Anolis sagrei: one gene and its partner. The protein of the gene in region 1 interacts with the protein of each later gene in a pairwise test. Links are inferred from orthologs where the notes say so. Each region holds a gene or a part of one and is shown on either strand. Other genes may lie near its edges.

Region 1 (8,024 bases):
ATTACCACCTCACCCACCTCATAGGAAACCTGCGACAAAACAAGACCTTTTTTGTTGAGTTTCAGGGCCAGAGAAGAAGATGGCGCCAGAAACAGAAGAACGGCCTGCCTCAGGGAAGTGTGCTTGCTCCATCCATGTTCAACATCTACACAAATGACCAGCCACTGCCAGAAGGGACAGAGAGTTTCATCTATGCAGATGATTGTGCTATCATCGCTCAAGCAGGGAGCTTTGAGATGGTAGAACAGAAGCTCTCTGAAGCTCTAGATGCCCTTACCGCATACTACAGGGAAAACCAGCTGATCCCTAATCCATCTAAAACACAGACATGTGCTTTTCACCTTAAAAACAGACAAGCATCCCGAGCTCTGAGGATCACCTGGGAAGGAATCCCACTGGAGCATTGCAGCACACCCAGATACCTGGGAGTCACTCTGGACCATGCTCTGACCTACAAGAAGCACTGCCTGAATATCAAGCAAAAAGTAGGTGCTAGAAACAATATCATACGAAAGCTGACTGGCACAACCTGGGGATCACAACCAAACACAGTGAAGACATCTGCTCTTGCACTATGCTACTCTGCTGCTGAGTACGCATGCCCAGTGTGGAACACATCTCACCACACTAAAACAGTGGATGTGGCTCTTAATGAGACATGCCGCATTATCACGGGGTGCCTGCGCCCTACACCACTGGAGAAATTACATTGTTTAGCCGGTATCGCACAACCTCTAGTGTGATAAGGTTTATAGAGGGACATGTATCGCTGGATGGTTGGGGAGATAGACAGACAGACAGATAGATAGACAAATAGGAGTCAAGTATCCAGACAGAGGAAAGTAATAAAGGAAATGCTTGACAATAGTAAAAAATGAACATGAGCCAAGAGTGTGCCGAAGCAGCAAAAAAGGCCAATGTGATCCTAGGCTGCAGGAAGTTGGACAGTCGCCTGTTCTGCCTGGGAGCCTGTGTGAGTCTCCTTCGCTATAGGCTTTGAATCAGAGGCTGGGTGGCCAGCTGCCAGGAGGGGTTGGGTTGTGCTTTCCCTGCCGGGTGGAAAGAAAAGGTTGGACTGGGTGGCCTTTGGGGGTCCCCACCCAACCTTAGAATCCTATGAAATCGGATGTGTACCAGATCTGGAGTTTGATCTTTTTCCCATCGAGGTCAATTGTCCTGATCTTGAAGTCAATGCCTGCAAAAGAGAAGCGGGGTTACCATCTGGGGGATCTCACAGGGTGAGATCTTGTGTGGAGCCCCAGATTGAGGGAGATTATCAGCAGTCTTGTATCTCTTCCATTTCCTACGGTTGATGTCTTCACATCAAGCCGCTTGCCTATTGCAGTTTCAGTCTTCCCAGTCTGGTGCAGGGCGACAATTTTGTTTCTGGTGTCCTTCGACAGCTCTTTGGCCTTCACCAGAGTGGAGTCTGGAGTGTGACTGCTTCAGGTTGTGGACAGGTGTCTTTTAGACTGATAACAAGTTCAAATAGGTGCCATTACTACAGGAGGGCAGAGGAGCCTGTCTATGAGACCCAGAAATCTTGATGTTTGTAGGTTTTGTTTTTGTCGTGTCAGGAGCAACCTGAGAAACTGCAAGTCGCTTCTGGTGTGAGAGAATTGGCCATCTGCAAGGACATTGCCCAGGGGACGCCTGGATGATTTGATTTTTTTTCATCCTTGTGGGAGGCTTCTCTCATGTCCCCGCATGAGGAGCTGGAGCTGATAGAGGGAGCTCATCTGCCTCTCCCCGGATTCGAACTTGCGACCTGTCGGTCTTCAGTCCTGCCGGCACAGGGGTTTAACCCACTGCGCCACCGGGGGCTCCTATAATAACAATAATAATAATAATGGAAGAGACCCCCGTGTCTTCCAGCATCTGAATAATAATAATAGTAATAGTTGGAAGAGACCCCCAAAGGCCATCCAGCCTCTACATAATAATAATAATAATAATAATAATAATAATAATAATAATAATAACAACAACAATAATGGAAGAGACCCACGTGTCATCCAGCATCTAAACAATAATAATAATAATAATAGTAATAGTAATAGTTGAAAAAGACCGCTAAAGACCATCCGGTCTCTGCATAATAATAATAATAATAATAATAATAATAATAATAATAACCCACTGCGCCATCGGGGGCTCCATTGTTTGTAGGTGACCAAATACTTATTTTCCACCATAATTTGCAAATAAATTCATTAAAAATCAGACAATGTGATTTTCTGGATGTGTTTTCTCATGTTGTATCTCATAGGTCTACCTATGATGTCAATTACAGGCCCCCGGTGGTGCAGTGGGTTATACCCCTGTGCCGGCAGGACTGAAGGCCAACAGGTCGCAGGTTCGAATCCGGGGAGAGCACGGATGAGCTCCCTCTGTTAGCTCCAGCTATTCATGCGGGGACATGAGAGAAGCCTCCCACAAGGATGATAAAACAGCCAGGTTGTTAACAGGAGTGGCACTCAGGGAGCACACCACTCCTCTGTTGCGTCAACTCCACACAATTCCGGGCACAATTCAAAGTGCTGGCTTTAGCCTTTAAAGCCCTAAACGGTTCTGGCCCGACCTATCTGTCCGAACGCATCACCCCCTATGAACCAGTTAGGACATTAAGATCGTCCGGGGAGGCCCTGCTCTCGATCCCGCCAGCCTCACAGGCACGGCTGGCGGGGACGAGAGACAGGGCCTTCTCAGTGGTGGCCCCTCGGCTGTGGAACGCCCTTCCCGCAGACATTAGGTCGGCCCCCTCCCTGCTGACGTTCAGAAGAAGAGTGAAGACCTGGCTCTTTGAACAGGCGTTTAATTAAGCAGTGCAATTAACTGATTGATCTTGGAACTTGGAATAATGGACGAGGAAATCGGATTATGACTTTACTGATGAGACGTGATGAGTTAGTTATTATGGATGTATTGATGTTATATTGATGTATTGATGTGCTGTTATATTATTTATTTATTTATTTGCTTTATTTCTATACCGCATTTTTCAGCCCTTAACAGGCGACTCAATGCGGTTTACATGGTACAATTATCAAACAGTGTCAGTGCAATTAAAACATAACAATGGAACAAACAGGATCAACAGCATCAATCCACAACAGTTAACAATCAACAAGACAGATCAACAAAACAGACATAACATAACGCCTCAGTTGAAATCAGATCCGTTCTCATAATCCTTGTGCCATTCCTATGTTCCATTTACCGTCTTCCTATGATTGGTTGCACTGCTTAACCAAACGCTTGTTCATAAAGCCAGGTCTTAACCATTCTCCGAAACGTCAGCAGCGAAGGTGCCTGTCTGATGTCTGCCGGTAGGGGCCACCACTGAGAAGGCCCTGTCTCTCGTCCCCGCCAAGCGCACCTGTGACGCAGGCGGGATCGAGAGCAGGGCCTCCCCAGACGATCTTAATGTTCTGGTCGGTTCATAGGTGGAGATGCGTTCGGAGAGGTAAGCAGGGCCAGAACCGTTTAGGGCTTTATAGGCTAAAGCCAGCACCTTGAATTGTGCCCGGTAGCGGATTGGCAGCCAGTGGAGCTGGTTCAGCAGAGGAGTGGTATGCTCCCTGAGTGCCGCTCCCGTTAGCAACCTGGCCGCCGAGCGCTGGACCATCTGAAGCTTCCAGGCAGTCTTCAAGGGCAACCCCACGTAGAGCGCGTTGCAGTAATCAATCCGGGATGTAACCAGAGCGTGGACTACCGTGGCCAAGTCAGACTTCCCAAGGTACGGGCGCAACTGGCGCACAAGTTTGAGTTGTGCAAATGCTCCCCTGGACACCGCCGAAACTTGGGGTTCCAAGCTTAGCGAAGAGTCCAGGATCACACCCAAGCTGCGAACCTGCGTCTTCAGGGGGAGTGTAACCCCGTCTAACACAGGCTGTAACCCTATACCCTGTTCGGCCTTGATGTAGTTGCCTTAGTTACTGTTTTTAAATGCTAGTGTTGTGCACTTTGTATATTGACCTGGTTGTAAACCGCACTGAGTCGCCTACGGGCTGAGAGAGTGTGGTATACAAATAAAGTAAATAAATAAAACATCAAAAAATCATCCAGGCATCCCCTGAGCAACGCCTTTGCAGCCGGCCAATTCTCTCACACCAGAAGCGACTTGCAGTTTCTCAGGTTGCTCCTGACAGGACGAAAAAAAATACAGGCCTCTCTCATCTTTTTAAGTGGGAGAACTTGTACAATTGGTACCTGACTAAATACTTCCCCCCTCCCTGCATATATATATATATATATATATATATATATTCTCAGTTATCCAGGGAAACCCTCAAGCAACTGACAAAAAAACCTACATCAAAGACAGAATGCTTCCAATGCATCACTTTCAGAATACACTAAACCAGTAAGAAGCCTGTTGCATCCAGCTTGCCCTAACCAAGCGCAGAGTGGATGCCCTGGGAGATGGTCCAGCATGAGGCCTACTTGGAGCCCATTCTCCCCTCAACCGGAAGAGGAGCCCTACTGCTCTCCAGCTAGAAGGTGGGCGTTCGTTGCCATGGCGACCGGGAGGTGGGTCCGGGGCGTCGCCATAACAACCCCTCCCTCCCCTCCCTCAATCCCACCGGTTGCCTGGCAACGACGCACCGATGGTGGAAATGAACGTGGCGTTGAAGGCGTCCTCGCTGAAGCGGAAGAGCGCGCACGTCTTGCCCACGCCGGAGTCGCCGATCAGCAGCAGCTTGAAGAGGTAGTCGTAAGTCTTCGCCATGTCTTCCTAGGCCTGCGAGGAGCCGCCGCGGCTCGCGATAGGCCCACGTCGCTGTCCGTCAGAACGCGCCGGACTCCCATTGGCTTGGCCGTTCGCCGGCGCACTCCTCCTCGAGCAGGAAGAGTGGGGAAACTTGTGATTGGCTGCGTCGGCGCTAACGTCCCGCCCATTGGCTAGAGAAACTTGCAATTGGTCCGTGCGCTGGATGACGTCAATAAGGAATGAGGCTTGTCCGCTCTAGAGTGGGGAAACTTGCGATTGGTGCGTGCGCTGGCTGACGTCACGGTGTGGTCCGCCCGTTGCTTGTCTGGCCGGAAGCGGAAAAGGAGCTCCGGCGCCTGCCGCGGATCCAAGATGTCCGCCAGCGCCGTCTACGTGCTGGACCTGAAGGGAAAGGTGAGGTTTCCTCTCTTCACCATTCTTCTTCTTCTTTTGTGATTGTTATTAGGTGTACTTGGCTTTGGACCTGCCTTGTAACCTGTCCTTCTAGGCTGGCTGTACTGTTATGGCAGATGAGGAGAAACGGGTTTTAGTTGGGGCCTTTCCCCCTTCCGTTGCCTTAATTCGCTCTACGAAAGCTGACTGGCACAACCTGGGAATCACAACCAGATACAGTGAAGGCATCTGCCCTTGCGCTTTGCTACACAGCTGCTGATTATTTATTTTATTTTATTTATTATTTAAACTTATATGCCGCCAATCCCCTGGGGCTCGGAGCGGCTTACAAGAATAGCTAAAATCTAACAAAGTTTAAAAGCAATTTAAAACAATTTAAAAACAACAGTATCAAACATTAAAAGCCTGTTGAAACAGGTATGTCTTACATGCTCTGCGGAAAGCTGGTAAGTCCCGCAGGGCACGAACTTCAGGTGGCAGAGTATTCCAGAGTGATGGGGTAACTGCTGTAAAGGCTCTGCATCTGGTTGCTGTTAGACGCAAGGTCTTGACACTGGGGGCTTCCAATAGATCTTGGTCCTCAGAACGGAGGGATCTCTGGGGTTGGTAGGGGGTGAGGCGGTCCCTCAGGTACATTGGCCCCAGACTATGCAAGGCCTTAGAGGTGAGTACCATCACTTTGAAAGTGATCCGGTGCTCAATTGGTAACCAATGCAGCTGCAGTAAGATTGGAGTTATGTGGCATCTCATCAGAATTCCCGCAAGAAGCCGAGCAGCTGCATTTTGTACCAACTTGAGCTTCTGAATCACCAACAGAGGGAGGCCAATGTAGAGGGTGTTACAGTAGTCCAGTCTTGAGATGACCGTGGCCTGGATCACCGTAGCTAGGTCGTCCCTGGACAGGTAGGGGGCCAGCCGTCTAGCCTGCCGCAGGTGAAAGAAGGCGGTTCTGCTCACGGCGGAGACCTGGGCCTCCATTGTCAGCAGAGGGTCCAAAAGGACTCCCAGACTCTTTACCAATGATGACGGGCGTAACGCCTCGCCATCCAAGGTGGGCAGATGGATGTCCCCACTGCCCGGTCCACCCAGCCATAGGATCTCCGTCTTTGCTGGATTCACCCTCAACCTGCTGGCACGCAGCCATCCAGTAACAGCCTCGAGGCACTGATGGAAACAATCGGGTACAGAGTCCGGTCGGCCTTCCATCTTCAGCACCAGCTGAGTGTCATCGGCATACTGATAACACTCAAGCCCAAAACCTCGAACCAGCTGAGCAAGTGGTCGCATATAGATGTTAAACAACAGAGGGGAGAGAATGGCCCCCTGAGGAACCCCACAAGATAGAGGGGACCTCTCAGAGACCAGGCCTCCCCTCTCCACTCGCTGTCCACGGTTGTGAAGAAAGGAGGACAGCCAGTTTAAAGCTGCCCCCCTGACTCCAGCAACATCAAGGCGGTGGGTCAAGAGATTGTGGTCGACTGTGTCAAATGCTGCTGTGAGATCCAATAACACAAGCAGTGCTGACCCGCCCTGGTCAAGCTGGCATCGAAGGTGATCCATGATGGAGACCAGCACAGTCTCTGTCCCATGCCCCGCACGGAAGCCGACTGGAAGGGTTCTAGTCCGGCTGTGTCGTCAAGGAATTGCTGCAACTGCTCCGCTGCTGCCCTCTCAATCACCTTGCCCAGGAACAAGAGATTTGAAACTGGGCGGTAACTGGAGGGAACCGAGGGATCTAAATCTGGTTTCTTCAGCAAAGGAGAGACCACCGCCTCTTTTAAACCCTCTGGAAAGACTCCTTGCTCAAGGGAGCTGTTTATAATCTTCAACAGAGGGTCACGTGATCCCTCCAAGCAGGATTTCACCAACCAAGAGGGACACGGATCGAGGGAGCAAGTGGTCGGTCTAGCTGCAGCTATGAGCCTATCGACAGCCCCTGCATCCAGTGGGATGAACCGGTCGAGGATGGGCCCAGCAAGTGGCCACGGGGTCTCAACTGCATTCCCAGTGTGGAACACATCTCACAACTGCGTTGTTGTAGGCGTTTGGGGGCTATATGACCATGTTCTGGAGGCAATTTTTCTCCTGACGTTTCACCTGCATCTGTGGCAGTGGTTCTCAACCTTGCTAATGCCGTGACCCCTTAATGCAGTTCCTTATGTTGTGGTGACCGCAAACCATAATATTGTTTTCGTTGCTACTTGATACTTGTCATTTTACTACTGTCATAAATCATAATGTAAATATCCGATATGAGGATGGATTTTCATTAACTGGAGTAAATTGAGCACAAATACCCAATATGCCCAAATGTGAATGCTAGTGGGGTTGGGGAGGATTGATTTTGTAATTTGGGAGTTGTAGTTGCTGGGATTTATAGTTCACCTGTAATCAAAGAGCATTCTGAACTCCACCAGCGATGGGTTTAAACTGAACCTGGCACACAGAACTCCCATGACCAACAGAAAACCCTGGAAGGGTTTGGTGGGCATTGACCTTGAGTTTGGGAGTTGCAGTTCACCTACATCCAGAAGAGTGCTGTGGATTCATGCAATGATGGATCTGGACCAAACTTGGCATGAATACTCAATATGCCCAAATGTGAACACCGGTGGAGTCTGGGGAAATTGACCTTCACATTTGGGAGTTGTAGTTGTTGGGATTTACAGTTCACCTACAATCAAAGAGCTCCACTGGCTACCGATTAGCTACCGAGCCCAATTCAAAGTGCTGGCTTTGACCTTTAAAGCCCTAAACGGTTCTGGCCCTACATACCTATCCGAACGTATCTCGGCCTATCAGCCCACCAGGACCCTAAGATCTTCAGGAGAAGCCCTTCTCTCCATCCCGCCTGCTTCACAAGTGCGGCTTGCGGGAACGAGAGATAGGGCCTTTT
Region 2 (6,130 bases), on another chromosome or scaffold:
AATGTCTGACTCTGGAGGGTGGTGCTCCTCTCAATTTCTAAGCCAAAGAGCTAGCATTGTCCATAGACACCTCCAAGATCATGTGGCCAGCATGACTCCATGGAGCACTGTTACCTTCCTGCCGAAGCGGTATCTATTGATCTCGTCACATTTGCATGTTTTCGAACTGCTAGGTTGGCAGAAGCTGGGGGTAACAGCGGGAGTTCACTCCACTCCCCAGATTCAAACTGCTGACTTTTTGTTCAGCAAGGTCAGCAGTTAATCAAAGTGTTTTGTATTATGGCTGGTATAAAACTTCGAATATATATATAACACACATAAACTTTGAATATATATGACACACACTACTAAATCCAAGTCTACAAAGAAGACATGCAGAAATTAGTATGATTTCAACGTGTGCCCAAAACTAAGAGTAGTTGAAGCATGTGGAAGTTATCATTTTGTGCTCTAGAAGAAAGAGTTGGGTGTGCGCTATATTTCTAAGCTTTTTAAAAAATGTTCAAAAAACTTCTGTATTATGATCCCAGCCAATCAGGGATCACATACTGGACAGCAGAAGACAAAGGGGGGGGGGAGGCAATTATCCTAGCTTAATGGAAAGAGCAAAAATATACACTGGCCTCACTCCCTGAATAACAGAAATCTATAAAACGCAGGCCAAACTTATATATTACATACAAGGAATCATTAACACCTAACTAAACATTAACACCTAAGCTAAACATTAACACCTAACTGCAGCAGGGAAGAGCTCCTTGCCCCACCCCAGCCATTCCACAGATATATAAACCCATTGTCCTAATTCCAACAGACCTCATACCTCTGAGGATGCTTGCCATAGATGCAGGCGAAACGTCAGGAGAAATGCCTCTAGAACATGGCTCTATAGCCCGAAAAAACTCACAAGAACCTAATCATGTGGGTGTTGCCAACCTGTCCCTATCAAGCTAGTTCTTGAATTACAGGCAGTCTCCAGGTTACTAACAAGATAGGTTGTGTGGGTTTGTTCTTGAGTTGAATTTGAGTTGAAGCCCGACTGCCCATTGGAGGCAAGGATATTAGAGGCCAAGATGAAGTACTTTGGCCACATCATGAGAAGAAAGGAAAGCTTAGAGAAGACAATTATGCTGGAGAAAATGGAAGGAAAAGGGAAGAGGGGCTGACCAAAAGCAAGATGGCATCTTTGAAGTGACTGGATTGACCTTGAAGGAGCTGGGGTGGCGATGGCCGACAGGGAGCTCTGGCATGGGCTGGTCCATGAGGTCATGAAGAGTCGGAAACGACTGAACGAATGAACAACAACAAATATATATTGGGGGGGGGGGGGCTTTGGATAGCATAAGGAAGAGTGAGCACACCCCTGTGGAGTTTGTTTTGTTATCTGTGCCCCGTTCAGAGGATTTCACTTCACTTTCTGTTCTTGTGATAGCTGGATTTTGAAAAATTTGACTTGTTATGGAAACAAGTCAAATTTTCTCCCATGATAACTCCTCTTTCAGGAGTGAATTTCCCTTCCGTGGGGTAGCTTTCACTCACTTCCTGTTGTCTCACCCCATTCTTAACTATAAGTCGTTAGTAAGTTGGATGTTTCTAAGTTGGATGTTTGCCTGTAGTTAGCTCATCAGTTAGTTGTGTAAGACAGTCATTAATTTATGGATGATACAGTACACAGTGTTTGCTCTTAAACAGATGTGCTTGTGGAAGTTTTAGTTTGACTGGCCTTTGATGTTATACAGTGGCAGGGGTGAAGTGATTGTTCTTTCTGAAGAGAACAACATGCTGTTGACTAGCCCAGCTTCCTACCAGTCTATAACTACAGGTAGGGAGGAGCTCTCGGTGGTGCAATGGGTTAAACCCTTGTACCGGCAGGACTGAAGACCAACAGGTCGTAGGTTCAAATCCGGGGAGAGCACGGATGAGTTCCCTCTGTCAGCTCCAGTTCCCCATGTGAAGACATGAGAGAAGCCTCCCACAAGGATGGTAAAACATCAAAAACATCTGGGTGCCCCCTGGCCAATTCTCTCACACCTAAAGCAACTTGCAGTTATTCAAGTCGCTACACACACACACACAAAACTACAGGTAACCAGGGAGATACTAGGGCAATGAGCTGATAATACCTACAAGATTCCCCATAATGTGTTGATTTGGCCTTATGGTGGGATTGACTTCTGAGTAAACATTCTTGGCCTGACTACTTGCAACAGAATGGCACATGTGTGAGTGACTAAATGGACACCAGTTGTAAATAAAAAGCATAGTGGAAAGCAATTCACAATTCACTGTATTTCTTGCTTTAAGGTTATTTATTCATATATAGCAGTGGTTCCCAGCCTTTTTTGACCATGCACCACTTGACCACGTTGACCAAAGATCATTCTCCAACATTAGTACCAAAAGGGTTACAGATCAGTTTTTGGTCAACTTTAGATTCGGTTTGGTTATTTGGGGTGCTGATACAGAAAATTGTATTGGATAGACAACATCACCTCTAGTTTCTGATACAGAACATATGCCATCTAGTAGTCACCATCTGCTCACCCACAGAAAACCATATTTAATAATCTAGGGCCAATGCAATATTTCATGGGAAGTCAGCCTTTCCCCTCATGACATCTCCATTACCTTGGCACTATAAGAGGGTTTTGCGAGATTGGTCGCTCTCACTGTCTTGTGGTTTCGAGGCAACGGTGTAGTAATGGTGAGGCCGTGGACCATATTTTTATTATTGTGGACCACTGGTGGTCCACGGACCTTTCTTTAATTTTCAGTTCCCAAGCAGGTAATGAAATCAAGACGTTTATCAAGCAGATGGTGAGTTCACGATCCATAGCTGATGGGTTGTGTGTTAATTTGTGTGGATCACAAGCTGTGCATCACATATGTTAATAGGCATTCACGAGGCTATACAGGCTAGTATCCAGCTCCCTAAGAGACACACACAGACAGAGATAGAGATCTAAATGCATTTGTGGGGGAAATGTATGAAAACAGAAGAATCTGATAATAAAGGAGGCAATTTTGATTGAGAAAATGGCAGTCATGTTTTGCCTAACAAAAGAAACTATTGATCTGTACTTAATTTAGATAGTTATCATCAGATTCTCCAGGAAGGAGAATCAAGGCAGGTTTTCTAGTTCAATACAAATGTGAATACAAAGTAATGGTGCTGTTGTAGGTTAGGAACTGTGGTGAAGAAGCAAAGGAAAATATTTCCCATTGTTTGGTAGGATTGAAATATCAGCCCTAATGTATTTTCCAAGTGAAATGTGAAGCTGGAATGAACTCTGAAACTGAATAGGAAGGCAAACAAATAACAAACAATAATTTTGGCCAATGGAGCTATTAAATCCCAGTGCTGCTTTCAGTTCAACCCACACACAGCACTGATCAAGACAAGATAAAGTTAATTTCAAGCATAATTTTTCACAGAACTTCAGAGTTACTCAGACAGCAACACTGTGCATGAACAATATCTAATGCATTCATTGTCATCTTCATTTGAAGTCTATGCGACCAACACAGAATGTATGCAGAGCTTGTTTGCTGCTTAAGAGAATGTTCTCAGGGTCTGGCACTGTACATCACCATAACTTCTTGCTGTTGTCCCTGGACATATAATATTTCAGTTATAGCAATTCTATTATAGCACAAATGGCAGAACTCAGTGAACATTACAGACATGTATGGTCGAAGACTTTCATGGCTGGAATCACTGGGTTGGTGTAGGTTTTTTGGGCTATATGGCCATGTTCTAGAAGCATTCTCTCCTGATGTTTCACCTGCATCTATGGCAAGCATCCTCAGAGGTTGTGAGGTCATGAAAAGATGTCAACTATTGTCAAAATAGAGATTCTCCAGCTCCCTAAACCCATTACTATTTTTTGAATCAGCATCCCAAATAATCCCAGAAACAGGCCTAAAACCCAAAAGACACTAATAATTTTTATTGGACTTTGTAATCATACCTTCTTTCTTTCTCTCCACCACCTTTTAATTTCATTCAACAAAGCAACAAGATTCAGCTTACCTGTAAGTCTCCCTTGATCTATAGCTGAAACAGTATTTCAGATAGTTACTGGCACTGAAGACAGGGCCTGATACAGTAGACTATCCCATGTTACATCAAAAAATAGGATAAGATTATAATAGCAGATACAGTATCAGATGTGAACTCAACCTACCGCTCATAACTAGACATGGGTAAAAAAGCTGTAAAAACTGTTCTAGCTATTTGCCTCTCTCAAGCCTGTGAAGTCACAAAATGAAGTATTGTCAGTTGGTGACATCATAGATCCAGGTAACCTCTGCTTCCTCCACTGTTAAAGAGACGTGTGCATGAAGGTATAGATTCAGATGCTTCAGCGGGCCGTTGAACTGAGGCCAACAGCACTGGCACTATATTCAACAAGGGCTGGCTAAACTGCTTGAGGAGAAGTGGGACCTGGCCTGGTGCTAAGACTGGAAGGATGCAACTTCTATAGAAGGCAGTTGTGCCCACAAAATGCCACGGCCAGTTCTCACAGGCTGCTCACAGTCCCGAGGCCTGAAAGAGAAGGAAGAAGAAGAAGAACCCCAGCCCTGCTACCACCACCACCATCACCACTTATCACCTCCTCCAGCAGACAACTTCAAGAGCCACGTCAGCTCTGGAGACAACCCAGTGAAATACCCAAACAATCCATCTGCATTTCCTTTGAAAGGGCCCAAAAATAAGAACCGTGGTGCGGTGAGACAACACGAAGCCAAAAACAGAAGTAACCGAAGAAAAATGGCCAGGCAGAGCCTTGGTCTTGAAGATGTTTCTCTGTCTCCAGAACCACTGGGCTTGAGCTTAGAATTTCAAGAGCCTTTGTACAAGGAGGAGACTGTTGTTGATCATTTGTTAGAGGTTGACGATGAGGATGATTGGAGAGAAAGGTACGACAAAGCCAGACTGGCCAACATGATCCCGTGTGACCCATATAATTACAACTCTGCTGGCCTTTCAGGGATGGAGGCTTTCTCTTCATGGCCATTCACTGACAATGAACCATGTATTGGGTGTCCTTCTCATACCAAGATGGCTGCCCGTGAAGAACCTATAGAGGAAATCGAGTACGTGTCTCCACAGCTGAGCTACCAAGAGCTGAAGGAGGAAAATTCCATGTTGAGGAGGAAGATCAAGAGGATCCAGAACTACTCTGAAAGCCAGACACACATGGTAAGAAATCTTGAGAGGACGCTCCAAGCCACTATGAACAAAGAGGAGAAAGAGGCTCAGGATTTGGAAGCATTGGTACAACATGCAGAACAAAGCCTCCAGTGCATGACTCAAAGAGCTCTGAAGGCAGAAAGTGACATGGAGAAGATGAAGCAAGAGATGGCACTACTCCAGGCTGAGCTGACTTGCTACAAAGTGGAGAATGAAAGCCTGAGATCTGGCCAGTCCACCAACATGGGAGCAGTAAAACAGCATGTTGATGTTGCTTTGCAGAACCTCCTCCGGGTCACCAACCATGCCCATGCCACCATCAACCAGCTGGTTTTTGGAGCTGAAACACTGAGCCTCGTTGCTGAGCTCCTTAAATCTGTAGGCAGAATGTCAGAACTAGAGAATGAAGATGGAGAAAAGAAACTAACTTAAAGGACCCTCTTGCCTACGAGTGTAATGCTCCTATACTGCTGTTGAGACTTACACCATTTGCTCTCAAAATGCATGGTTTCAAATAAGCAACCTCACTCTCTTTCCCCCAGAAGTACTTTTATTACATAATGGAATATTAATTTGATATACTAATGCCTTGGGTGCTCTATTTCAAAACTACATTGTAAGGGGTCAGCACAGTGTTTGGGTCCTGTTGTTCTTCATAGAGCTGGGAATATTTGACATTCATTGGGCAATTGGGCCTTGGATGCGTGATTTTTCCCCCTTTATACCTCAGAGGGTGGGAAAGTTACCTTTGAACCTCAGTTCCCAGAATTTCGTAGTCAATGGTTTTGGGAGTTATAATCCAAAAAGTACCTTTCCCAAATTTTGTAGTCTCTTAATGGCATTTTGGAGCACGAATGTACAGCAGACAATTCAAACTGAGGCTATGGCAAAAGGTGTTTGGGACTCCAATGCCCAGATGTCCTGGCCATCTTA

The links. The genes of interacting proteins can lie anywhere in the genome.
Region 2: the proteins of AP1M1 (region 1) and endosome-associated-trafficking regulator 1-like interact in binary tests that used the Homo sapiens proteins (3 or more experiments, as listed by UniProt). The two-hybrid records come from large-scale screens. The link is inferred for Anolis sagrei from reciprocal best matches to the Homo sapiens genes AP1M1 and ENTR1.

What each region holds. Positions count from the first base shown.
Region 1 is NC_090034.1:59,407,815-59,415,838, reverse strand, and holds the start of AP1M1 (AP-1 complex subunit mu-1), read left to right. Parts: upstream 1-5,024; 5' UTR 5,025-5,086; coding exon 5,087-5,128; intron 5,129-8,024. Other genes in the region: RAB8A (ras-related protein Rab-8A), read right to left, coding at 1,135-1,195, 4,609-4,732. UniProt on the Homo sapiens protein: Subunit of clathrin-associated adaptor protein complex 1 that plays a role in protein sorting in the trans-Golgi network (TGN) and endosomes.
Region 2 is NC_090025.1:164,068,002-164,074,131, forward strand, and holds endosome-associated-trafficking regulator 1-like, read left to right. Parts: upstream 1-4,507; coding exon 4,508-5,629; downstream 5,630-6,130. UniProt on the Homo sapiens protein: Endosome-associated protein that plays a role in membrane receptor sorting, cytokinesis and ciliogenesis. Involved in the endosome-to-plasma membrane trafficking and recycling of SNX27-retromer-dependent cargo proteins, such as GLUT1.